Oryctolagus cuniculus: one gene and its partners. The protein of the gene in region 3 binds, or shares a complex with, the protein of the main gene of each other region. Links are inferred from orthologs where the notes say so. Each region holds a gene or a part of one and is shown on either strand. Other genes may lie near its edges. The genes, in order: CASR, GRM4, GNAI3, RGS8, RGS10 and TRPC5.

The links.
Region 1: the proteins of GNAI3 (region 3) and CASR are in contact, whole or in part, in a cryo-EM structure (PDB 8SZH), measured with the Homo sapiens proteins. The link is inferred for Oryctolagus cuniculus from reciprocal best matches to the Homo sapiens genes GNAI3 and CASR. Residues at the interface, in NP_006487.1 of Homo sapiens: Ala31, Lys32, Gln304, Glu308, Lys314, Asp315, Thr316, Lys317, Glu318, Ile319, Tyr320, Thr321, Phe334, Asp337, Ala338, Thr340, Asp341, Ile343, Ile344, Lys345, Asn347, Leu348, Glu350, Cys351, Gly352, Leu353, Tyr354; in NP_000379.3 of Homo sapiens: Lys644, Ala645, Asn647, Arg701, Val702, Val705, Phe706, Ala708, Lys709, Pro711, Thr712, Arg716, Trp719, Phe801, Ile869, Val872, Arg873, Thr876, Ala877, Ala880, Phe881, Lys882, Val883, Ala884, Ala885, Arg886.
Region 2: the proteins of GNAI3 (region 3) and GRM4 are in contact, whole or in part, in a cryo-EM structure (PDB 8JD6), measured with the Homo sapiens proteins. The link is inferred for Oryctolagus cuniculus from reciprocal best matches to the Homo sapiens genes GNAI3 and GRM4. Residues at the interface, in NP_006487.1 of Homo sapiens: Ala31, Lys32, Val34, Lys192, Asp193, Leu194, Thr219, Phe336, Thr340, Ile343, Ile344, Asn347, Leu348, Cys351, Gly352, Leu353, Tyr354; in NP_000832.1 of Homo sapiens: Pro616, Lys619, Ala620, Gly622, Arg623, Glu624, Arg676, Ile677, Ile680, Phe681, Gln683, Gly684, Lys685, Arg686, Ser687, Val688, Ser689, Ala690, Ile694, Ser695, Pro696, Phe781.
Region 4: the proteins of GNAI3 (region 3) and RGS8 are in contact, whole or in part, in a crystal structure (PDB 2ODE), measured with the Homo sapiens proteins. The link is inferred for Oryctolagus cuniculus from reciprocal best matches to the Homo sapiens genes GNAI3 and RGS8. Residues at the interface, in NP_006487.1 of Homo sapiens: Glu65, Gln68, Ser75, Val179, Lys180, Thr181, Thr182, Gly183, Ile184, Val185, Gln204, Ser206, Glu207, Lys209, Lys210, His213, Ala235, Glu236, Asp237, Glu238; in NP_001095920.1 of Homo sapiens: Thr76, Glu77, Phe78, Ser79, Glu81, Asn82, Ala117, Pro118, Glu120, Val121, Asn122, Ile123, Asp124, Phe125, Gln126, Arg128, Leu153, Lys156, Asp157, Ser158, Arg161, Arg164.
Region 5: the proteins of GNAI3 (region 3) and RGS10 are in contact, whole or in part, in a crystal structure (PDB 2IHB), measured with the Homo sapiens proteins. The link is inferred for Oryctolagus cuniculus from reciprocal best matches to the Homo sapiens genes GNAI3 and RGS10. Residues at the interface, in NP_006487.1 of Homo sapiens: Val71, Val72, Ser75, Glu115, Val179, Lys180, Thr181, Thr182, Gly183, Ile184, Val185, Gln204, Ser206, Glu207, Lys209, Lys210, His213, Ala235, Glu236; in NP_001005339.1 of Homo sapiens: Glu62, Phe63, Ser64, Glu66, Asn67, Ala102, Ser103, Ser104, Gln105, Val106, Asn107, Val108, Glu109, Gly110, Leu137, Lys139, Tyr140, Asp141, Ser142, Arg145.
Region 6: the proteins of GNAI3 (region 3) and TRPC5 are in contact, whole or in part, in a cryo-EM structure (PDB 8GVX), measured with the Homo sapiens proteins. The link is inferred for Oryctolagus cuniculus from reciprocal best matches to the Homo sapiens genes GNAI3 and TRPC5. Residues at the interface, in NP_006487.1 of Homo sapiens: Arg205, Arg208, Lys209, Trp211, Ile212, His213, Phe215, Glu216, Glu245, Leu249, Ser252, Asn256, Lys257, Trp258, Arg312; in NP_036603.1 of Homo sapiens: Thr27, Glu32, Glu33, Glu56, Ile57, Tyr58, Tyr59, Asn60, Lys125, Pro128, Thr129, Leu130, Met131.

Annotation. Positions count from the first base shown.
Region 1 is NC_091435.1:78,452,992-78,456,491, forward strand, and holds part of CASR (extracellular calcium-sensing receptor), read left to right. Parts: intron 1-3,251; coding exon 3,252-3,500. UniProt on the Homo sapiens protein: G-protein-coupled receptor that senses changes in the extracellular concentration of calcium ions and plays a key role in maintaining calcium homeostasis.
Region 2 is NC_091436.1:135,251,091-135,254,590, reverse strand, and holds part of GRM4 (metabotropic glutamate receptor 4), read right to left. Parts: intron 2,660-3,500; coding exon 1,724-2,659; intron 1-1,723.
Region 3 is NC_091438.1:60,864,366-60,868,344, forward strand, and holds the start of GNAI3 (guanine nucleotide-binding protein G(i) subunit alpha-3), read right to left. Parts: upstream 2,801-3,979; 5' UTR 2,649-2,800; coding exon 2,531-2,648; intron 1-2,530. UniProt on the Homo sapiens protein: Heterotrimeric guanine nucleotide-binding proteins (G proteins) function as transducers downstream of G protein-coupled receptors (GPCRs) in numerous signaling cascades.
Region 4 is NC_091444.1:944,441-947,940, reverse strand, and holds part of RGS8 (regulator of G-protein signaling 8), read left to right. Parts: intron 1-684; coding exon 685-786; intron 787-1,273; coding exon 1,274-1,338; intron 1,339-3,500. UniProt on the Homo sapiens protein: Regulates G protein-coupled receptor signaling cascades, including signaling via muscarinic acetylcholine receptor CHRM2 and dopamine receptor DRD2.
Region 5 is NC_091446.1:11,178,376-11,181,875, reverse strand, and holds part of RGS10 (regulator of G-protein signaling 10), read right to left. Parts: intron 3,311-3,500; coding exon 3,192-3,310; intron 2,065-3,191; coding exon 1,978-2,064; intron 1-1,977. UniProt on the Homo sapiens protein: Regulates G protein-coupled receptor signaling cascades, including signaling downstream of the muscarinic acetylcholine receptor CHRM2.
Region 6 is NC_091453.1:81,680,926-81,684,425, forward strand, and holds part of TRPC5 (short transient receptor potential channel 5), read left to right. Parts: intron 1-45; coding exon 46-249; intron 250-483; coding exon 484-525; intron 526-3,347; coding exon 3,348-3,437; intron 3,438-3,500. UniProt on the Homo sapiens protein: Forms a receptor-activated non-selective calcium permeant cation channel. Mediates calcium-dependent phosphatidylserine externalization and apoptosis in neurons via its association with PLSCR1.

The DNA of each region.
Region 1 (3,500 bases), on a different chromosome or scaffold from region 3:
CAAATAGTCTGTTGTACCCTGCCAGACAGAACTATGCATGTATCATGAAAATACAGATATAAGACTAAGCAAGAAACCTTCCCCAAAATAATATATATTTTTAAATTACATTAAAGAAACGGAGTAACATAAGTTTAGCAGTATAGGTATTTTATATAAAGAGAAATTTTATAATGTACCTGAATAACTTTGTAAGTTTACAGTGGATAATTAAACAAATATAGATGAAGGAGGCATAGGAAAAAATATGAAAGCAAAATGTCATGTTAAAAGTTAGATCAGGAGGCAAGCATCTGACCCAGCGGTTAAGATGCTCACGTCCCAGATTGGAGTGCCCAGGTTCAGTACTCAGCTCCAGCCCCTAACTCCAGCTTCCTGCTCATGCAGACCCCAAGAGGCAGCAGGTAATGGTTCAACTAATTGGGTTTCTGCCACCAAGTGGGAGACCTCTGAGTTGCATTCAGCAGACAGGAATTCTCTCGCTTGCTCGCTGTACCTATCAAATAAATGAATATTATTTGAACGTTACACCAGCAACCTTGGGAGCCTGAGTGACAGTGAAGTATAACTGATCATATTTCCCACCTCTTATTGCTGTGCTCCGATAGGCAGCTCCCCTTAGGAAGGGAGAACCTGCCAGATTGTTCTATCTTTCCCACTGGACCTGAGTCAGTTCACTGAGTCAGCACGTGCAGAGGCCTCACTCTAAACCAAGTGCTGGAAGAGTGAAACTTAACTGCACTGACCCTGTCTGTCTTTATCCATTTGCTTGATTTTTATTAAAATAGCATTCTTCTTTAAAAAGCAATGCATATACATTTTTAAGACTTTATAGTAGATCCTGCTTCCCATGTTGGATAGTTCTCTCCCTTTTTGATTCTATCAGTTAGTATTAGCAGACACTAGTCTTGTTTGTGTGATCCCTTTGACTCTTAGAAATATCAGTGTGATCAATTGTGAACTGAAGTTGATCACTTGGACTAGTGAGATGACGGGATACACAACAGACTCATAGAATGGCAGATGTCCTAAATAGCACTCTGGCCTCAGAATCAGCCCTTAAGGCATTTGAATCTGACTGAAGAGCCCATGACAGTATTTTAGGCATGGAAAGCCAAGACTCTCTGGGAAAAAAAAAAAAAGAAGAAGACCTAAATGAAAGATCTCTGCGAGTGAGATCCCAGTGGAAAGAATGGGGCCATCAAAGAAGGAGGTACCTTTCTCTGAAGGGAGGAGAGAACTTCCACTTTGGTTATGACCCTGTCGGAATAAGATCGAAGTCGGCGAACCCAAAAGGCTTCCATAGCCTTGGCAACTCATGACTACAGCCTAGGAAGATTACTGACGCCATAAACAAGAGTGTCAAATTGTTAAGTCAACAACAGGAGTCACTGTGTACTTACTTCTCATGTGGGATTTGTCCTTAAAGTGTTGTCCAATGTGAAGTAATGCTATAACTAGTACTGAAACAGTATTTTTACACTTTGTGTTTCTGTGTGGGTGCAAACTGATGAAATCTTTACTTAATATATACTGAATCTATCTTCTGTATATAAAGATAATTGAAAATAAATCTTGATGTGAATGGAATGGGAGAGGGAACGGGAGATGGGAGGGGTGCGAGTGGGAGGGAAATTATGGGGGGGGAGCCAATGTAATCCATAAACTGTACTTTGGAAATTTATATTTACTAAATAAAAAAAAAAGAAGAAAAAGAAACAGAGACAAGACTTGAACATAGACACCCCAATATGGGATGTAGGCATCCCAAGAGGTGGCTTAACTTGCTTCCCCACAGTGCCACACCATCAGTAAATATTGTTCTTATGAAGAAATGATTAAGCATTTCCTGATCCTTTTTGCATATATATTTAGACAGGGGGAATCTAACTAAGTCTTAGAGTCAAAATTCTAAAGACCAAGAATGAATAAGAAGAAAAAGAATTTTATTTTTCACTTGTGAGCATTCCATTTGTCCCACATCAACCATTAGTGCCAATGACTAATTATCCAGTGTTCAACATCTGAATTAAAATTCATGAAAGAAAACCTTAAAATGAGGGTAACTTAGTACACTTATTTAGCTTTTCTGGAATTTAACAAGCATTACTATTGGTGACAGCACATTGGGAATTCAGAGAAAATTACAGAATATTATTCTGATATATTAAACCCAAAAAATGCTGTGTAGCCCACAAATTTAACTTTTACTTCATTAATAAAGACTGCAAGCTGTCTACCACGATTTTTCCCACATCTTGATATTCATATTTTATCACTGAAAAAAGAAAAGCCCAACAGCTGCTTCCAGAACAAAAAGAATGTTTAAGGTCCAGGATCTTTCAAAAAGTTTTCTAACTCAGTATCTTCATTTTAAATGTGAAGAAATGGAGACAACATGAGTAAGTGACTTTCCTTTGTAACCTGGGTATGTCAGTGGCAAAACTATCATTACAATCAGTTTTAGAATCCCATGTCTAACTACAGAAAAGATGCTTCAAAAATTCTGAGAAAATGAAGTTAAAAGACAAAGTTACTTCAAAAAATCTGAAGTTCATGTGTAGTTTTTTTATGAGATGTATTTTCTATGGATATTTTGAAGACCATATGTTTGTCACAAAAGATGAATAATAAAGAAAAAGTAAACTACATTCCTTTAAAAAAAAAAGACTTTATAGTATAAATAAGCCAAAAGCACACAATTCCTTTCCTACCTCCCTACACTGTTTGTTGCTTGTTTACAAACCAAGATCATTCTTTTCCCTTTCTTCTTTGACCAGCAAGGATATCATCACCTAAATTTGTGACACCACAAATCTGAGGCTATATTTAGGCTCCCTCCTGCTAATATCCTAATCTATTCATATTTTCCCGAGTCCTTTTTCTCTTTAAATCTATATATTACATTTACAAAAGTACTCCACATCAACTACTGCAAACCCTTTGCTGGAGGCAGCAGATAGAAATAATTCAATGAATTACTAATAACAATCTTTTGTTATTCCTGTCCCCCAACTCTGTGTGAGGCACACACTGAGAATTTTACATCACTGCCACCTGTCCATACCTTCACAGCCACCCTATGAACAAGTAGGTGTTAACCCCATGTTCCAGACAGGACTTTGAGTCCCAAAAAGTGAACCTCAAAGCCAACGGGTAACAGAGCCATGATTCAGACCCAGCTTTGCCCAGTCCTTCAAGTAGTTAGTTAACCAGAAAGTCTCCATTCACTTCCCACTTCTTTCTTCCAGGTATAACTTTCGTGGTTTTCGCTGGTTACAGGCGATGATATTTGCCATAGAGGAGATCAACAGCAGCCCAGCCCTTCTCCCCAACATGACGCTGGGATACAGGATTTTCGACACTTGCAACACCGTGTCTAAAGCCTTGGAGGCCACCCTGAGTTTTGTTGCCCAGAACAAAATCGACTCTTTGAACCTTGATGAGTTCTGCAACTGCTCTGAGCACATCCCCTCCACTATCGCTGTGGTGGGAGCCAC
Region 2 (3,500 bases), on a different chromosome or scaffold from region 3:
ACTAGCACTTGGAAGTTCTCTCTCTCTCCCCTCCCCCAAATTCTGTTGCCCTGCCTTTAAGTAATAGATAAATGTTTCTTTAGACAATTTTTCCATAATATGTGGGGAAACTATTATGAAAAAGCCATAGACTTCAAGAACATTTACACTTGATCTTAGCCAAAAGGCCGAGAAGTGATCAAAATAAACTCATACTTTCAATTCTCTTAGCCTATGAGCATCTCTTAAGCACCCTTATACCCAAAAACCCACACACAAGCTTCTGGGCACCCAGCAGCACTCCTGAGGGTGGCACCAGCCCCCCTCCCACCCCCACAGCAGCCGGGCCTGCAGCCTGCCCTGGGCGCCCGGGAGATTCCACGTGGCTCCGGCACTGCCGGCCCCCTGGCTGCCAGCGCCTCTAAGAGTCCTGGTGGCTGGAACCCATGGGGGCTTCCGAGTTCGTCTCCTCCACCCCCACCCCATTAGGAGGCCTAGAGGGGAGAAGGGATGCATCCCACGTCCCACAGGGCCCCGGGCAGAGCTGGTGCAGGCGCTGTGTGGCCGCAGCCCTGCCCCATGGAGCACCCCTGAAGGCCATCTCAGTGGCTCAGCTCAGAACTGTGCAGCGGAGGTGGAGACGGACAGGGCGGGGCGGGACGGGGCGCTGCCTGGACAGGGCATGGGCTGAGCAGGGCTGATGCCCTGGGATGACAGGGTCTCCACCGGGCGCAGGGTGCCCGCAGCCAGAGGGCAGGGGCTTACCCGCCCTCAGACTGGGAGGCCCTCGAGGTTTTCAAGCTTCCTGGGCGTGGAGGACTCCCCTGCCGACTCCACGCCCAAGAGACCCGCGCTCAGCAAGGGGCTGGGTGCACCGGCTGCCGGGCTCAGGAGCATGGCCAGGCCACGCCTCAGACCCCAGGCCAGTCCCTGCCAGCCCCAAGGTCTGCTTCTTGGAGCACCCTGGCCCTCAGGGACACCCCCGGAAGACGCCCCACAGACCTCCCTGGGCTGGGCCCACGAGATGTGGGGCGCAGAGCAGAGGACACGGCAGCCACCCAGCATGAGCTGCTGGAACAGAGGTGGGGGCACCAGGGAGGGCCAGTGTGGGCTGCAGGTGGTGGCTCCTTCGGTGCAGCAGGGACAAGTCCAGCTGTGCCACCTACTGGCCGTGTGACCTTGGGCAAGTCACTGCTCTCTCCTGTGGAAGTGGGGATGGTAGCTACTGCGTCCAGCATCCAACAGGCCCCCATTTGCGGCTCCCTGCAGGCCACACACCCCCGGGGAGCTCTCCCTGCTCCTGATGGGCCCCCAGTTACAGCTCCCCAGACAGCTGCACTGGGACATGTGCGGGGCGCCTGCCCTGCCCCCTCCTCCCCGCTTCAGCTGCACCCCGTGCCCAGGAGCCCCAGGACCACCTGGCCATAGCCCTGATCCACCCATGCTCTCCTCAGGGCTCACCCCGCAGCCAGGGCCTGGGTCCCAAGCGACAGAAAGAGGAGCTGAGGCAGGGGGAGGCCAGCGGCTTGGCCAGAGCCAAGACACGGACAGACCTGGGACCAGGCATAGGGGTCTCAGGGCCCCCAGGAGGCCTCCGACTGCAGGTCACCCCGCCTGCAGTGCCAGCTCTGGGTGTGGGCAGGGTCCACGGGGCGCTCAGGGGCCAGGCCGCTAGGATCCAGAGGCAGGCGAGAACGGAAGGCCCCTCGGCTGGCACGGCCAGGCTCCAGGTCAGCACACTCACCTTGTCGGCCGACTGCGAGGTGCCGAAGAAGATGGGGATGAAGGCGAGCCAGACGATGCAGGTGGTGTACATGGTGAAGCCGATGGGCTTGGCCTCGTTGAAGGTCTCGGGCACACCCCGCGTCTTGATGGCGTACACGGTGCACGTGACCATGAGCAGCATGCTGTAGCCCAGCAGGCAGATGAGCGACAGGTCGGAGATGTCGCACTTGAGCACGCCCCGGGCGAAGCGGGGGTCGAGCGTCCGCTGGTCCTGGAAGTCCACCACCGAATGCGAGGGGTCCACCACGAACCACACGCAGATGCCCAGCAGCTGCAGGGAGATGAGGCTGAAGGTGATGGCCAGCTGCGAGGCGGGGCTGATGAAGCGCGGGGCGCTCACCGACCGCTTGCCCTGCTCGAAGATGCGGTAGATGCGGTTGGTCTTGGTGAGCAGGGCTGCGTAGCTGATGCTCATGCCCAGCCCCAGGAAGATGCGGCGCAGCGAGCAGGTCCCCAGGTCCGGCTCGGCGATCATGAGGAAGGTGGTGGCGTAGCACAGGAAGATGCCCGCCAGCAGCACGTAGCTCAGCTCGCGGCCCGAGGCCTTGACGATGGGCGTGTCGTTGTAGCGCACGAAGGTGACCACCACGAACAGCGTGGCGGCGATGCCCACCACGGCCAGGAAGAGGGGCAGCACGGCCCAGGGCGAGTCCCACTCAAGTTTGATGATGGGGATGGGCCGGCAGCCCGTGCGGTTCTCGGTGGGCCGCATGTCGTAGGGGCACGTCTTACAGGTGTAGCGGTCCACCTGGTACTGGTAGCCCGTGCAGGGCTCGCAGTGCCAGCAGCACGGCATGCCCTTCACCGTCTTCTTCCGCTCGCCCGGCTGGCAGGGCAGGCTGCAGATGGAGCGGGGCAGCTGCTGCCCGCTCCCCGGCCAGTGCATCCGCTCTATCTGGCAACGACAGCACCGCGGAGCAGGCCTCAGGACGGGGCGCCCAGGGCCTGGACCCTTCGCCCTCTCCCGCGCAATGCCCCTGCGCCCCACACCTGAGTCAGCCAGGTGGGTGCCTGTTAAAAGTCCGACCCCACCAGGGCTTCCCGAACCCGACGGCTGGATTTCAGCCACCACCACCACCCCCACCTACCACCGCGTGGCCGGAACACTGCCGACCTGGGAGGACTCCTGGCTGAATCCAGAGCTCTCCACACTCATGGAGGAACTCGGCCCAGAAAATAGCAGCGGTGACGGCCTGCAGTCCCCACTCCCAGCCCCCAGGGCCTGGCAACTCACCAGCAGCCACAAAGCCCAGCAGCTGCCAGGAAATGCAGTTTCTGGCCTCACCCCAGCCCGTGCGACACCGAGACCCCCTCCCCAGGGTGATCTGTGCCGGCTTCACTGCCCTACATATGGCTCCACCACGGAGCACAGGGAGCGGCGTTCAGTGGAGGGGATGAACTCCAGTTTAATCAGCGGATATTAACGTGTGCCCAGGGGCTGGCATTTCTTTCCATCTTGCTCTAAATCAGCGCTACTCACAGCTCTTAAGACTCAACGGCTGTGAGCAAAGGGGCCATAGGAGGACTGTCACGCCCTCCTGAATCCGTTACAAGGTACTCTGGAAAGCAAGCAAGCAAGAGGCCCAGAGGAGCTGCAGGCCCCGGGCTACGGGAGCAGACTACGCCCAGGAGCCACCTTCCCAGCATCCGTTCCAAATGCAGCAAGAGTTCACCAGACCAGTGCCAGGTGCCGGGCACCCACTCCTGCAGAACGGCCGCCAACTGGCCGGGGGCTC
Region 3 (3,979 bases):
GCCGTCAATATTTATGCTACACTATATCCTTTTAAGGAAGAGAACATATTCTGAGCCAGGAGAGACAAGGATAAGTACTCAGGCCTCAACTTATATTATTTGATAATTTCATAGTAATGAAATAAAAATGACTTATATATACAGAAAAGGAGATATATTCTACAGCAAAAACAAAATCTGTATACAGTACTGGGTATATTTTCCTTAGAGAAACAACATGAAGACAATTACATAGCTGTGTATATGTCTCAAGCAAGAGAATATATCTCTGCAACCTATCTGAATTTGTTGATTTGACTTGCTGCATTCAAAATCTTTCTGAAGGCAAGCATTGCAGAACAGTGGGCGAAGCTGCCACTTGGGATGCCTGCTTCCCTTATTAGAGTGCCTGGAATCGAGGCCCACTTGCAATTCAGATCTAGATCCATCTTCTTGTTAATGCACATGAGAGGCAGCAGACAAAAGCCCAAGTACTTGGGTTCCTACCACCCACAGCAGAGACCCAGCTCCTAGCTTTGGCCTGGCCCAGCCGGAGCTGTTGCAGGTATTTGGGGAATAAACCAAGAAAGGAAAGGACTCTCTGTCTCTGTGCCTGTCAAATAAATAAATTTTTTTAAAAATTGAAAAAACAAAGTAAAAATTAAAAGAAAATGTTAGTACTTTTTTATTTACTGCTTTTCAATTGCACTATCTATAAAGTTCTGAATAAAGATTTTTCTAGACATTTGGACAAGTTCTGCTTGCCAAAGTTCTGCCTGCCAAATCCTGCCATTTGGAATAAAGTCTCACAGTTTATAACTGTATTACAATGGGCTAATGTCCTGAGGAAAAAAAATACCCTTAATTTCATAACCAATCAATCGGTATAGAAAATGCTAATACCTTGAATATTGTGTTTCCCATGAAACTTCTGAAAGGCCCCAAGGACAAATGTCCAACATTAGCTGGCTTATGCTTGTTAACAGTAAATATTTAAGAAGTGCCGACCAGGTACCAGGGACCATGCCTGTGCACAGAAGATACCTGTGATACAGACAGTGGCCGTCTAGAGCCTTCCAGAAGTTCAGCTATTCACACTGAAAGCTCAGGTTCCAATGTATAACTTTTCCCCTATATCCAACAAAGCTGTTACCAGGGTTTCTGCAATCTACAACCAAGCCAGTATGTTAACACTAAAAGACACTGTCAGGGTACCAAGCACATCCTGAAATACAGAATAAGTCTCAAGTTCTATTACTTACAGAAATCATCACGCCTATTTATTCTTCTCTAACTGATCTACAGTAAAGACTAATAATGAAGAAATCTGGCTTGGTTTATTGTAAGTTAGCACAAGGACATTTTATATGATTTACTGAGTTTCAAAAATTTCAAAACTAAATTGCGCTAAGATGCATCAGACAATACACAAAAGCCACTTAACCCATATGTATCATGGTCCTATATAGAGGCATCTATAAAAAACTAAAGTCAAGCAATAAATATACCACTTATGTTAACTTTGAAATAAACATTATGTCATAGAAACATTCACAAAATTGAAAACTCAGGATGTAATGGGTTAAAACGGATACGAGAAACTATAAACAGTGATTCCTGAGGCCAGTATTTTTTCCTGGAAGAGAACAAACAAGATAGAGAGCTCACCAGAAATCTAACAGTCTTCACAGTAAACATGCTCAATCCCTAACTTACCCTAAAATAACTTTATCCCCACAGCACGGTATCCCTAACAAACATTCAAACAACTTCCAATGTGCAATCTGTCGTCCACGGATCTGCCACAAGCCGTAACAAGCCATTCTTTCAGTACCCTCAGCTCACACCACTCCCGCTTCTTCTAATAAAACCTGGGGAAGGAGTTACAAAACGAAAAGGGTGGGAAAGCACAGACAAGCCCTGCATCCAAGCTCTTTTCCTTGATACCTGCGAATCTGTCACGTATCTCAGCCCTTTACCTGCACGTTCCTGCGCAAGGGTTCCCCCGCCTTACTAACATGCTCTTTCCCTATGTAATCACTTCGTGCGAGTGATCTCTGTTCAAAGTAATCGCTCGTGTCTCACCGCTTTGTCTTTTCTAAAAAAAAATTTATTCTTAGTTTTTAACATTCAAGTGCTTTCATTTTATAAAGTGTCACCGCGCTCCAAATTCACTAATCATTATACAAATCCAGCAAGCACCTTAACCTCTCCTCCTGGTTACTAACAAGCTCAAACTCAACGTAAAACCTTCTCTAACATCAGTTCTTTTATGAGCGTCTCCCATATTCCTAATGAAGTCTCACCGTCCAACCGCCCTGCACTCCCAAACTCTTTGCTAAACCTAATTCCAGCCCGGAGTCACACCCTCCCAGCCTAATTTCCACAACCCCAAAACCCCACCCCTTCATCTCACCCTCCGGGGCCTGAGCCCCAGGACCCCGCCGCCCGCCGGACAAACCCTACAAATCCCTTTGGGGTCCGTGCGGCCGGCCTGGCCAGGACCTGGGCTCCCCCGGCCACCGCTCCAGCCCCGCCCCCAGCCCCTCACCGAGGAGCAGCAGCTTCACTTCTTTGGCCGCTTTCTCTCCGTCCTCCCGCAAGTTGCGGTCGATCATCTTGCTCCGCTCCACCGCCGCCTTGTCTTCGGCGCTCAACGTGCAGCCCATGGCGGCGGCGGGACAGGCGGCTGGGCCCGGGCTCAGTCACACACCGCAGTAACTGCGGCTCGGCCGGCTGAGGCAGCGTCTACTGCTGGGCGGCGGCCCTCTCCGTCAGCGCCCCTAGCGCCCCGAGGAACCGGATATCCGGCGTTTACGACATTTCCGGTGACGCCCTGCGGCCGTTACTGCTTGGAGCTCTCTGGGAGAGGAGGTGAGACCGAAAGCGGAAGTCCTCGAGAGGTGTGGCTGGGCTGGGCGGCGGGGCTGCGGGGCTGCGGGGTTCTGTCAAACTCACGGCGTGCCTCCCAACTTTAATCTCTCTTTACCTTCTCAGCTACCTGGTTTGGATGAATGGAGAAAGACCGAGGCCTCCAGCTCAGAGGGCCCTCCCAGAGAGTCACACAGCGGATGCTTGGGGGAGGTGAGGAAGGGAGGAAATTCTCAAATGAGAGCCCCCACAGCCCCACGGTAACTTCTAATGAGATTTTCTCGCTGGCCAGAAAATGTCATCGATTTCTGGCTGTTGGAGACCCAGCGCTCCCCGCCCCCGGGTTGAAGACACCGAGGCAGTGTCAGGATTGTTCCAGCGGTTGGGATGGGAACAAAGTGCCCAGTCTTGGTCCCGGCCAGGCCTCACCATGCCTTGGACTTAAGCGATCCCTCTTTGGCCCTCGTTGGCCCATGCCTTGTGCTCTCAAAGTGTGTCCTAGACCTTGTGCTATTAATTATGAATGTCAGTTGCCTTAAGATTTGCCCAGCTCCTATGTCGGCAAAGCGTCACTTGAAATCACTAGTTACTCTGTGACTAGAAGCTCTGTAACCTAACAAGTAAGCTTGTAATTCCTCCATAAAATGTCCACGCTGCCCTTCTCTCCAATACACGCCACTCTTGGGCATAGGATTTAATGTAAGTCAACCTCAGCCCCTCACTGTGAAACAAACCAGTGCATACTGGGAGTCTCCTTAAATTTCCTGTTGCCCCACACCAAAAAGGGTAGTGTAGTAAAATTTGCCTCTCAGTTATACTGTCACCTGGACATTAATAAATCCCCTGTAAAAGCCCCTAGCTGATGACGCTCTTTCACTGATAATACATGAAGGTGGTCCTAAATTAATTAAACTGACAAACAGTGCCAATTACTCTCTCCATATATTCTAGGAAGAGCTCTTTTGCAGCCCTTATATCCTTACCCTATGATTAAAATTATTTCCCCAGTAGAGTCTAAACATTACAATATAAGGTCCCAATGGACAGGTCTATATAATGATGATTCATTAATTAGGAAGGTTTGATCAAAGGATTAGAGTCACTTTCAACAGCCTCAGTGACCATAACG
Region 4 (3,500 bases), on a different chromosome or scaffold from region 3:
TCCCCCACCTGTGACCTCAGCTCCAGGAGTGGCCGTGGCCGAAGGTCAGGAGTCAGCAAAGCTCATGTGTCGAGGGCCAGGGATTCGATGTTCTCATCCCGGTGGTTCAGAAGTCTGTGGCTGAAGGTGTAGACCTTGGCTGCTGCTGTGTGCCAATAAAGCTTTATTTATACAAACGGCACCCGCAGGGAGCAGAATGCCAGGCCCTGGCCGAGCGAGGCACACGGGGCTGACAGTGGCAGTGGGGAAGAGACGGCAATACCGTCATCGCGCGGGTGTTCGGGAACTAGAGAACCTGAGAGAGAAATGAACAGGAGCTGTGGGCACTGGGCTTGCCTGGGGGCCTGGCTGTCCGTGCATCTGCCCGGCTGTAGGACGAGCGGGGACCTGGCAGGATGTGGCTGCCTGGGAGTCCTGATCTCTGCAGAGGCTCTGCAGGGCCAGGCCCCCTGCCCCCTACCCCGCTGGGTCTGGGGGCCACAGGCCGCGGTGCGTGAAGTCCAGCCTCCTGCACAGAATCCTAATTTAGAAACTCCCGGGCTGCCCGGCGCTGTTCCCGTAGTCAGCTGGGTGGGAGGCCGGCTTCTCCAGGGGCCCCCTCTGTGAGGCTGTGGGCCGGGGCTGCGTGGGGGGCGGCAGCTGTGCCCACCGCAGCCCCTGACCTTCTGCCCACGCTGTCTGCAGGAGCAAAGGGATGCGCACGCGCCTGGGGTGCCTGTCGCACAAGTCGGACTCCTGCAGCGACTTCACGGCCATCCTTCCCGACAAACCCAGTCGCGCTCTCAAGTGAGTGGCGTCCCCCGCTCCACTGCCTGGCCGGCCCTGCCCACGGCAGCCCCCTGCACCCTGGGTGGGAGTGGAGGGGAGTTTGTCTTCCTCTTGGTGCATCGCTGACTGATCCCAGCTCGGGTCCCCTCTGCGCCCCAGACGGCCGGGCTGTGGGTGGGAGGGACACTCCTTGCCTCTGCTTGTCAATCTGAGCTCTCGATTTGGAAGTAAACTCTAAAAATATGCCTGGATCCAGGTAACCCAGGAGCAGCTCTCCCTGTGCACGCGCTGCCTCGCGTGACCCCCTGCAGAGACGCGAGGTGATGGGCGGGAGCCAGGACGGGTTTCTCTGCACTGCCCCTGACCGTGTCCGGCCCGGCCGTGTCCTCTCCTCCCCCAGTGCCTGGCTGGCTCGCGCCCCGCTGCCCCCTGCTCTCCGGAGCAGACCGCGGAGATGGGGGAGGGAACCATGGCAGGCCCGCTCACGGCTGTTTCTTCTGCCCAGGAGACTGTCCACGGAAGAGGCGGCGAGGTGGGCGGACTCGTTCGACGTGCTCCTGGCACACAAGTGTAAGTGACCTTCCCCGCCGGCCTTGGTCCCTGCGGCGCGAGGCGGAGACAACAGGGTGGAAGCCAGGCGCTGGCCTCCTTCCCCTCTCCTGGGCTCTGGGAGGTCCCCGGAGCCTCGTGGTCGCAGCCATGCCAGAGAGCCAAGCTCAGAGTGCGGGTCCGGGCTGGGGGCCTGCGGCTCCAGCTGCGTATTACCTGTGAAACTGTGAGGCCCGTTGCCCCCTGTGGCTCTGGCCTTGATGGGGTCTCCGGCCGGGCTGTCGTCCTGGGAGTTCCTGCGCACAGCTGTGCCCCTCCCCCAGCCCCTGCTGCCCTCTGGTCCCCCTTGAGGCAGAGGTCGTGCGTGTGCAGTGTGGGGAGGCGCCCTCAGCTCTGGCCTCTCTCTCCTCGTGGGCGAGCCCACATTCCTGGGGCTCTGACACCCCAGGGCGTTACACACAGTGGAGGGGGCACAGAGCAGGGCAAGGAGGAACCAGGGAGCCTCGGCCGCCTGCAGCCGCCCCCAAGCCGGGCGTCCCGGCTGCCAGAGCTGGGCCTGCTGAACTGCGCAGTACAGTCTGCAACACGCAGGCTGAGGGCGTGGGTCGGAGTCTGACCTGCTCCGGATTTTATTTTTTTAAATATTTTGTTATTTATCTGAAAGGCGGAGTGATAAAGGGGGGGAGAGAGAGAGAGAGAGAGAGAGAGAGAGACATTCCCCCAATGGCCGCAACGGCCAAGGCTGTGCCAGGATGAAGCCAGGAGCCAGGAGCTCCCACGGGGGCTCCCGCGTGGGGCCAGGGCCGGAGCCCCTGGCCACCCCCTGCTGCTCTCCGAGGTGCCTCAGCTGGGAGCTGGAGCAAAAGCAGAGACAAACCCGCGCTCCAACACGGGATGCTGGCGTGGCAGGAGGTGACTTAACCCGCCACACCACAGTGCCAGCCCCGTGCTCTTGATTTTTAAAAAAAGATTTATTTGTTTATTTTAAGGTAGAGTTATAGAAAGGCAGAGGCGGGGGGTGGGGGGTCTTCCATCAGCTGGTTCACTCCCCAGGTGGTTGCAACGGCCAGAGCTGGGCCGACCCAAAGCCAGGAGCCAGGAGCTTCCTCTGGGTCTCCCACGTGGGTGCAGGGGCCCAAGGACTTGGGTCACCTTCATCTAATTCCCAGGGCATAGCAGAGAGCTGGATTGGAAGTGGAGCAGCCGGGACTCGAACCGGCGCCCATATGGGATGTCTGCACTGCAGGTCTGCCACAGCGCCGGCCCTGGCCCCGTGCTCTTGATCTTAACCTTGCAGGGTCAACATGCAGTTGAGGGGCCTTGGCAGAGGCCCTTGGTCTCCGCAGGTGTCTTTAGAAGTCGTTGGCTCTCAGCTTCGCCCAGCGTCCCCTCCGATTCTGCCCCTTCCCAGTAAGTGATGGACAAATGCTTGCAGGTAGATTTCACAGTGAGACGTGGGGGCCAGGCCGGGGCACACGGCAGCGGTGGCCTCCATGGCTCACCCCGCGGCAGGAGGGCAGCCACGTGGACACCGCACACGGTGTGCATGGCGCAGGCCAAGCAGAGAGCTGTGCCAGGCGTTTGCCACGGTGGCGGCAAGTGTGGGACTCGGGACCTGCCTCGTGCAGCTGCGCCGTGCCTTGGGCTGAACGAGCGTCGTCAAGTCCTCGCCTCCTTCCCTGGCTGGGTTCGACTCGGGGTCATTTGGTTTCTCTTCCGGCCGGCGCCTGACTCACCTAGTCAAGTCCCTGGGGCCGCTGGCCCCCGAGTGAGCACCCGGAGCCCTCCATGGGGCGGCTTCTGAGGGTCTGCGTGTGCTTAGGGACAGGTGCTTTTCTCTACCCAGTGCCAGGCGAGTGCCCCTGGAGCCCGGTAGGAACTGCCGGTGCTGGCTGTGCCGTGTGGCCATGTGGCCGTGGTGGCCCGGCTCCACCTGGAGGAGTTGTGGCGCAGGTAGTGGCAGGGTCTGGAGGTCTGAGGGCAACTCTCAGATCCGAGCTCGCCTGGTCCCGCTCTGCCCCGCTGTGGGATTCCGGAAGCTTCTCTGAGGCAGGGTCTGTGAGGGTCAGGGGACACCAGGTGCTCTGAGCCCCTGCATCCCGCCGCAGGTCCCGCCGCCCTTCCCAGGCCCGCGCCGTGGGGGTGGGGGAGCCAACACTGGTGAGAGGAAGGGGCCCCTTCCC
Region 5 (3,500 bases), on a different chromosome or scaffold from region 3:
ACAGACGTGCTGCACGATGTGGACGGCGGGAAGTGCAATCCAGCATCTGCCTGGCTGGCCAGAAAGCCAGAAGGTGGCAGAACTGAAGGCTTTACCCTCCCCCCACACCATTACAGTCTTACCCTCCCCCCACATACACCATTACAGTCCCCCAGACATACACCATTACAGTCTTACCCTCCCCCCACACCATTACAGTCTTACCCTCCCCCCACACCATTACAGTCCCAAAGGAGCTTTCCCAGGCCCCAGGGGTCCCCACTCTCTCCCCTCAGCTCTTCCTCCCAGGCCTGCTCCCCTAAGTGCTGTCCCCTCCCCCCCAGGAAGAATTCCCCACTCCACCCCCACCACACTTTAGGTCGCACTTGAAAGACTCCTCAGGCTGGCGCTGTGGTGTAGCGGGTAAAGCTGCCACCTGCTTTGCCAGTATCCCATATGGGCATCGGTTCAAGTCCCAGCTGCTCCACTTCCGATCCAACTACTGCTACGGCCTGGGAAAGCAGTAGATGATCCAAGCACTTGGGCCCCTGCACCTGTGTGGGAGACCCGAGGGAAGCTTCTGGCTCCTGGCTTCCGATCGGCACAGCTCCGGCCATTGTGGCCAATTGGAGATGGAAGACCTCCCTCTCTCTGCCTCTGCCTCTCTGTAACTCTACCTATCAAATAAATAAATAAATCTTTAAAAAAAAGAAAAAGTCACTCCTCCAGGGGCCTCCCCGGTGATCCACAGCCCCATTCTTTCCACCTCTAGGCTTGTGGCACCTGCGAAGCCTCCCCCGGAAGATGCTCCTCCAACTCATTCCTGGGCTCCATGATGCCTGGAGTGCCAAGGGCTGGCAGCAAGTGTACAGGGGATGCCTGGGTGACCTCGGAGTGCTGGCGCAAGCCCCAGTTCTGCATGGTGCAGGGCAACACCGACTTCCTTATCTACACAGCAGGGGAGGCCCCGGGCCACCTGGGCCTTCCCACCCTCACGCTCGAAGAATAAGGCAGACAAATGCACATGCGCTCACCTCTCGACTCTGAGCTACAATCTTAGGGTGAGCCTGGCCTCAGCAGGTGCAGGTCCAGCGTGCACCTATGGTTGTCGGCAGCCCTGTCCTAGGTGCTGAGAAAAAGGGGAACCAGGAGTCCTCACTTTCCCAGAGGCCCTCCTGCCTGCTTTCATTTCCCCCAGAGGGCTTCGCTACCCAGGAGGCCCCAGCCAGAATCGCCCTGGGGGAAGAAGGCAGAAGAAAGCAAAGCCCAAGGGTCATACAGGGAGGGCTTTTAGGGCAACCAAAATGCAACCCAGAGGGAGCCCCTCTCGGAACGTGTCCTCACCACCTGCAGAGAGGAAGCAGTGCTCCCTGTCCTCACCACCTGCTGCTCCCCCGGAGCTGACCAGTGCTCTGCCCTGCACAGAGACCCACCCAGTGCACAGCCTTCTTCCTCGTGATCTGATGCACCTTTTTCATGCCCAACCTTCAGTGGCAAAACCCAGCGGAGGGGAGCGACAAGAGGGCACCCTGAAATGAGCACACGGCCACCCGGGAGAACGGTCAGCAGCTTCCTGTGCGGGAGGCTCTGGACAGGCGCACGGACACATGGAAAAATCCCCCAGGTGCATGCAGGGCTCCAATCGCCACACAGCATCCAGAAATGCAGACGGGCCAGGCCCTGGGGGCGACCTCCTCATAACGTATTCATGAAGACACAGCCGTGCACACTGATGATCTCCAAACGACACCAATGGTGATTTTTACTTTAAATATCGGTCCCTTTGAACAGCTCCATTTCAAAATGGACTAAATCACTCCTTTTTGAATTATTAATATTTGATCAACACAGGAGACCCGATCTGAAGCAGAAACCTTCCCCTCACGTCTAATGTGAACCGAGTTCCATTAGACAATTTCCAAGTCTCCTGCAACGGCAGCTGTGACTCCATGAAGAGCGGGGGAAGTGACCAGGAGTCATTAGGAACGGAAGGGTTACCTGCTTCTTATCCTGCATTTTCTTAAAGTCTTCACATGCCAGCCAAAACAAAACATTTTCCTCGCTGAACTCCTTTTTTAAAAATTCCTATGGATAAAAACAAAAACCATTCATTTAATCTTCTCTTTACGAAAAAAAAAAAAAATAATGCATTTCCTGACAAGCACTGACTTGGCAAAATTCAATAGCTGAGCATGGTCCAATCAGCCCTTGAAAACTCCACCCTGAAAAACAAGGAGTAGGATTAATGTTCAAGCCAGGATTTCATATGCATTTGGCCTCAATGGCTTTGACGTAGTAAAGAAGAATAAAAATGAGGCAGGGATCTACTCACACTGCTTAGCTGACAATAAATTACCGAAAAGTAAAGTAAAGTGGAGATGCGTTAGTTCCTTCCAGACAGTGTTTAAACAAAGTGCATTCCTCTAAAATCAAGCCCATTTTTTTTAAACAAAAGGAAAGGAAAACAGGAGGCCTGTCGAGAAAGGCCAGGAAGAAAACTATTTTAAGTCGGAGGTGTGTTTCCTTTTGGCCGAAATCGGAGGGCTGGTGGCACGGCCAGCTGCTCGACAGTGCAGAGACCTCCCTGAGGTCCAGACGAGGCTCACAGCCTGGTGTCACCAGGAACTGGGGCCCTGGCTCGGCTGCCACTTCCCGCCCGAGAGCCTGACCACACAGGGCTCCTCCTGTCTGACTCAAGACCTAAAGACAGAAGTTGCTGGAACCGACCCTTGAAATTCACATGTGGTCACCTGGGGGTTCCAGTGGCCAAGGAAGTGACTTCTCCGTGACATCAACACTTCCCCAACCACCGGTCCTCCCTCTGGGGTCCCTTCGCCAAGTCGACGCTGCCAGCTTCTCTCACTCTGCCAATGATGCACCCCGAGACTCCCCCAGGTGCAAACGGTCCCAGCAGAGAAACTCAGACAACCCACCCCCCACCCCCGAGGTGTCACAGAGCTGCAACTCCTCCTACAGCCGGCAGCAATGGGCAGGGGACCTTCTCCCTACCCCAGCCCACTCCCACCTACACAGGAGCAGACTGCACACGCCCTCAATGCCAGTCCAGGGCTGTCCACACGGGTGCTACCAGCCATCACAACACCGGAGCCATTCTTACTGTCACATTGGGACAGACAGAGTTAAGGACTGTCCTGTTTCCCCCACCTCTGCACATGACACACCCTCCCTGATTAACAAGAAAAAAGGCAAACCCTAAATCTTTTGACGCCTTCTGGGTCTTCCAGCAGATTCTCCAAGGAGGCCGCCCACTTGGCTGTGCTCCTGAGGCTCTGGTGGCCGCTGCTGGAGCCACCATCACTGTCGTGGATGTCTGTAAAACAGAGCGTAGACCCCATCACAGGATACAATGCCACCATCACCATCACGGCTCACATACAGTAAGTTGCGTGATGACCTAGCACGTGGCAGGTTCAAAGAGTTCCTCCAATTTACAGATAGGAAAACTGAGGCCGGGGTGATGAAGACTTATGCAACACACCTTCCCGCACTGGTCAGCGCAC
Region 6 (3,500 bases), on a different chromosome or scaffold from region 3:
GTTAGAATGAGGCATTCCAAATCTTTAAACTTCTGTCTTCCATAGGATCATGCTGATATTGAGTGGAAATTTGCAAGGACAAAGCTCTGGATGAGTTACTTTGATGAAGGTGGTACCTTGCCACCTCCTTTCAACATCATCCCCAGCCCCAAGTCATTTCTATACCTTGGCAACTGGTTCAACAACACTTTCTGCCCCAAAAGAGACCCTGATGGTAGACGGAGAAGGCACAACTTGAGAAGTTTCACAGTAAGCCTTTTTCAAATTGTTTCCCTTTAGACAAATTTGTTTCTTCCCTTCCTTCCTTTATGACATTCCGTATCTTAAATGTCAAAATCACTCCAGTCTACACATGCTTTGGGGGTTTGTCAAGAAGGAGCTCCTGTGTTATTCTCTAATCTTAATGTTTAGAAATATATCCGGATGGGTGGGTAGGGCGGGGCTGATTGCTTATGTAACCTGTCTTCCCATTTTCAATTCCAGGAACGCCATGCTGACAGTCTGATACAAAATCAGCATTATCAGGTAAAGCTTCCTAACTGGAACTAAAGACAATGGTTTTTGGCCAGTTTGGTGAAGTAGAAACAAATTCCATGCTGGCTTTCTGGATATGTTCCATTTGACTGGAGTAGGAGGCTTGGAGAGACTGTTATTTCATCAAAGGCTGAAGTATCACTTTACAGTGGATTCACCTGGTTTATCATCCTGTTCATTGTCTTTGAACAATGTCTCAGTGTATTCAACAGCATCCATGACTTAGAAAGTTTTTTTAAAATTTTGAGAGGTAGAGGAACAGAAAGAGACACTGGGAGAGATTGCATCCATTGGTTCACACCCCAAATGCCTGCAAAGCCAGGGCTGGGCCAAAGTCAGGAGCCAGGAACACAAGTTGGGTCTCCCACTTGAGTGGCAGGAACCCACAACTGCCTCCCAAGGTCTGCACTGGAAGAAATTGTAATCAGGAACCAGAGCCAGGAATCAAACCCAGGTACTCCAATATCAGATGTGGGTGTCTTAACTATAAGGCCAAAACCCTACTCCAAACCTATATTTTTGAGATTAAGTAAAATAGAATGTTATTGGTCACTCAGTTAACAAATACTTTAATACCTACTGTTTATCAGACGTTAAGCTGGGTACAACAGAAATCACTGTGAACAAGACCCAGTCTTTCTGTTATTCTTTTATTATTTAGCAGGAATAAGAAGATATTTAACAAATCATTATAGCTATTAAAATTAGGTGATACAAGGGTAAAATCTACTATGAAGAAAAAGTGCAGCCGGCGCCACAGCTCACTAGGCTAATCCTCCGCCTGCGGCGCCGGCACCCCAGGTTCTAGTCCCGGTCGGGGTGCCGGATTCTGTCCCGGTTGCCCCTCTTCCAGGCCAGCTCTCTGCTATGGCCCGGGAAGGCAATGGAGGATGGCCCAAGTGCTTGGGCCCTGCACCCGCATGGGAGACCAGGAGAAGCACCTGGCTCCTGGCTTCAGATCAGCGCAGCGCGCTGGCTGTAGCGACCATTTAGAGGGTGAACCAATGGAAAAGGAAGGCCTTTCTCTCTGTCTCTGTCAAAAAAAAAAGTGCATAGAGTAATGATACTATACAATGCATCAGGAATACATAACAAAAGGAAAGTAACATCAATGAATTAAAAGCTTATCTGAATGTTAGGAACACAACTCTTCTTAAATTACAACATGACTTTAATTACAGAATTAAATAAGCATTTCAGCATGCTAAAAATGTAATAAACCAAGGGAACATTTGGGTACTCTCCCCACCAGACAGAAAACAACCAAGCACCCAAATACCAGAAACATCTTTTGAGAATGATCCTTGCAAATCCCAAGTAAGAGACAATCATCTCTCACCTTTCTGATTAAAAGAAGCCCAAAGTAGAAAAAAGCAGGCTTGAAGTAAATTCATCCTTATTCTACAGGTCACTTCTCCTAACTCTCTCTTAGGACATAATTAAGAGAAACAGAAAATACAGTATTTGGTAAGAACTCTTCTCTTACTATTCCTGCCTCTAACCACTATTATTTTCATAATGAGTCTTAAGAAAAATTCACTGTCTTCATTTCCTGCTTCAAAGTCCTTATAAAAATTGTTTCAAGGACATCTCAGTTACTTTTTTTAAAAGATTTATTTGTGTATTTATTTGAAAGGCAGACACACACACACACACACAGAGAGAGAGAGAGAGAGAGAGAGAGGATCTTCAATCCTCTGGTTCATTCCCCAAATGCCCCCAACATCCAGATCTGGGCCAGGCCAAGCTGGGAGCCAGGAGCTCTATCCTAGTCTCCCACATGAGTGGCAGGGTGACAAGTACTTGAACCATCTTCCACTGCTCTCCCAGGTGCATTAGCAGGGAACTAGGTCAGAAGCAGAGCATCTGGGACTTGAACTGGTGCTCTGACATGGGATGCCAGTTTTGTACACACTGGCTTAACCAACTGCACCACAACATCTGCCTCTCAGTGACTTCTTTAAGATCAGAGTAACAGATATAATATATACAGCATTAGCTATTGTTACTATAGGCCTTGAAATCAGATTGAAATGAAAGTGGATTCCAGTTTTTGCATTTACTAATAGTGTGACTTTGGACACACCTGTTAACCTCACTGAGTCTCAGAATCCTCATCTGTTAAAGGGGAATTATGATAAAACTTCTTACAGGGTCTTGGAAATTGAGTGATGAGTGTGTGTGTGCGTGTGTGTGGTGTGGGGCATTGCCCAGCACAGTGCCTAACCTAGTGCAGTAAGTGACAGCTATCAACATCATCATCATCACTAATACAAATCATAGAGACCATATGTGTGTTATTGCCCTGAGGTCAAATCAAGAGACAATTCCTGTAAAGAAGTATAGGTTGATTCTGAAAAAAAAAAAATACCCTGAGTATATTATTAGTGCATATTGAAATTAGCACTTAGAGACTCTGAACTTTATAAAAGGAGGAAAAACTCATTTTCCTAGGAGTGTTACAGTTTAATCCAGCCTGAAAGGAACAGATAATATGATCATTCAAGCATTATTTCATTGTTATTATTCTATAAGTGTGAATGCATATTTCCTTTATACTTAGGTAGAAATTTTGCACTTAGTGTGAATTGGCTTTTACTGGCTCACTCTACTCCCACATTCAGAGACATAATAATTTGTTTAGTCAATGGACTTAATCCATTTTGGGGGCAGAAAAAGGCTGGATCCTGTAAGGATTTTGTTGCAAAGATGATCTAAGCATGTTTTATTTCCTGTGTTCATTGCTCATTTCACTAAGAGCCTAAGAAGGAAACTGAATGCTTCTTCCTGTTTTTTTTTTTTTTTAATTCCAGGAAGTTATCAGGAATTTAGTTAAAAGATATGTGGCTGCAATGATAAGAAATTCCAAAACAAATGAAGGACTAACAGAAGAAAATTTCAAGGTAATTTAATCACTAAGTGGTCTCTCATTTTTTATTTCTTAAGCATCATTTAATCTTCAAAGT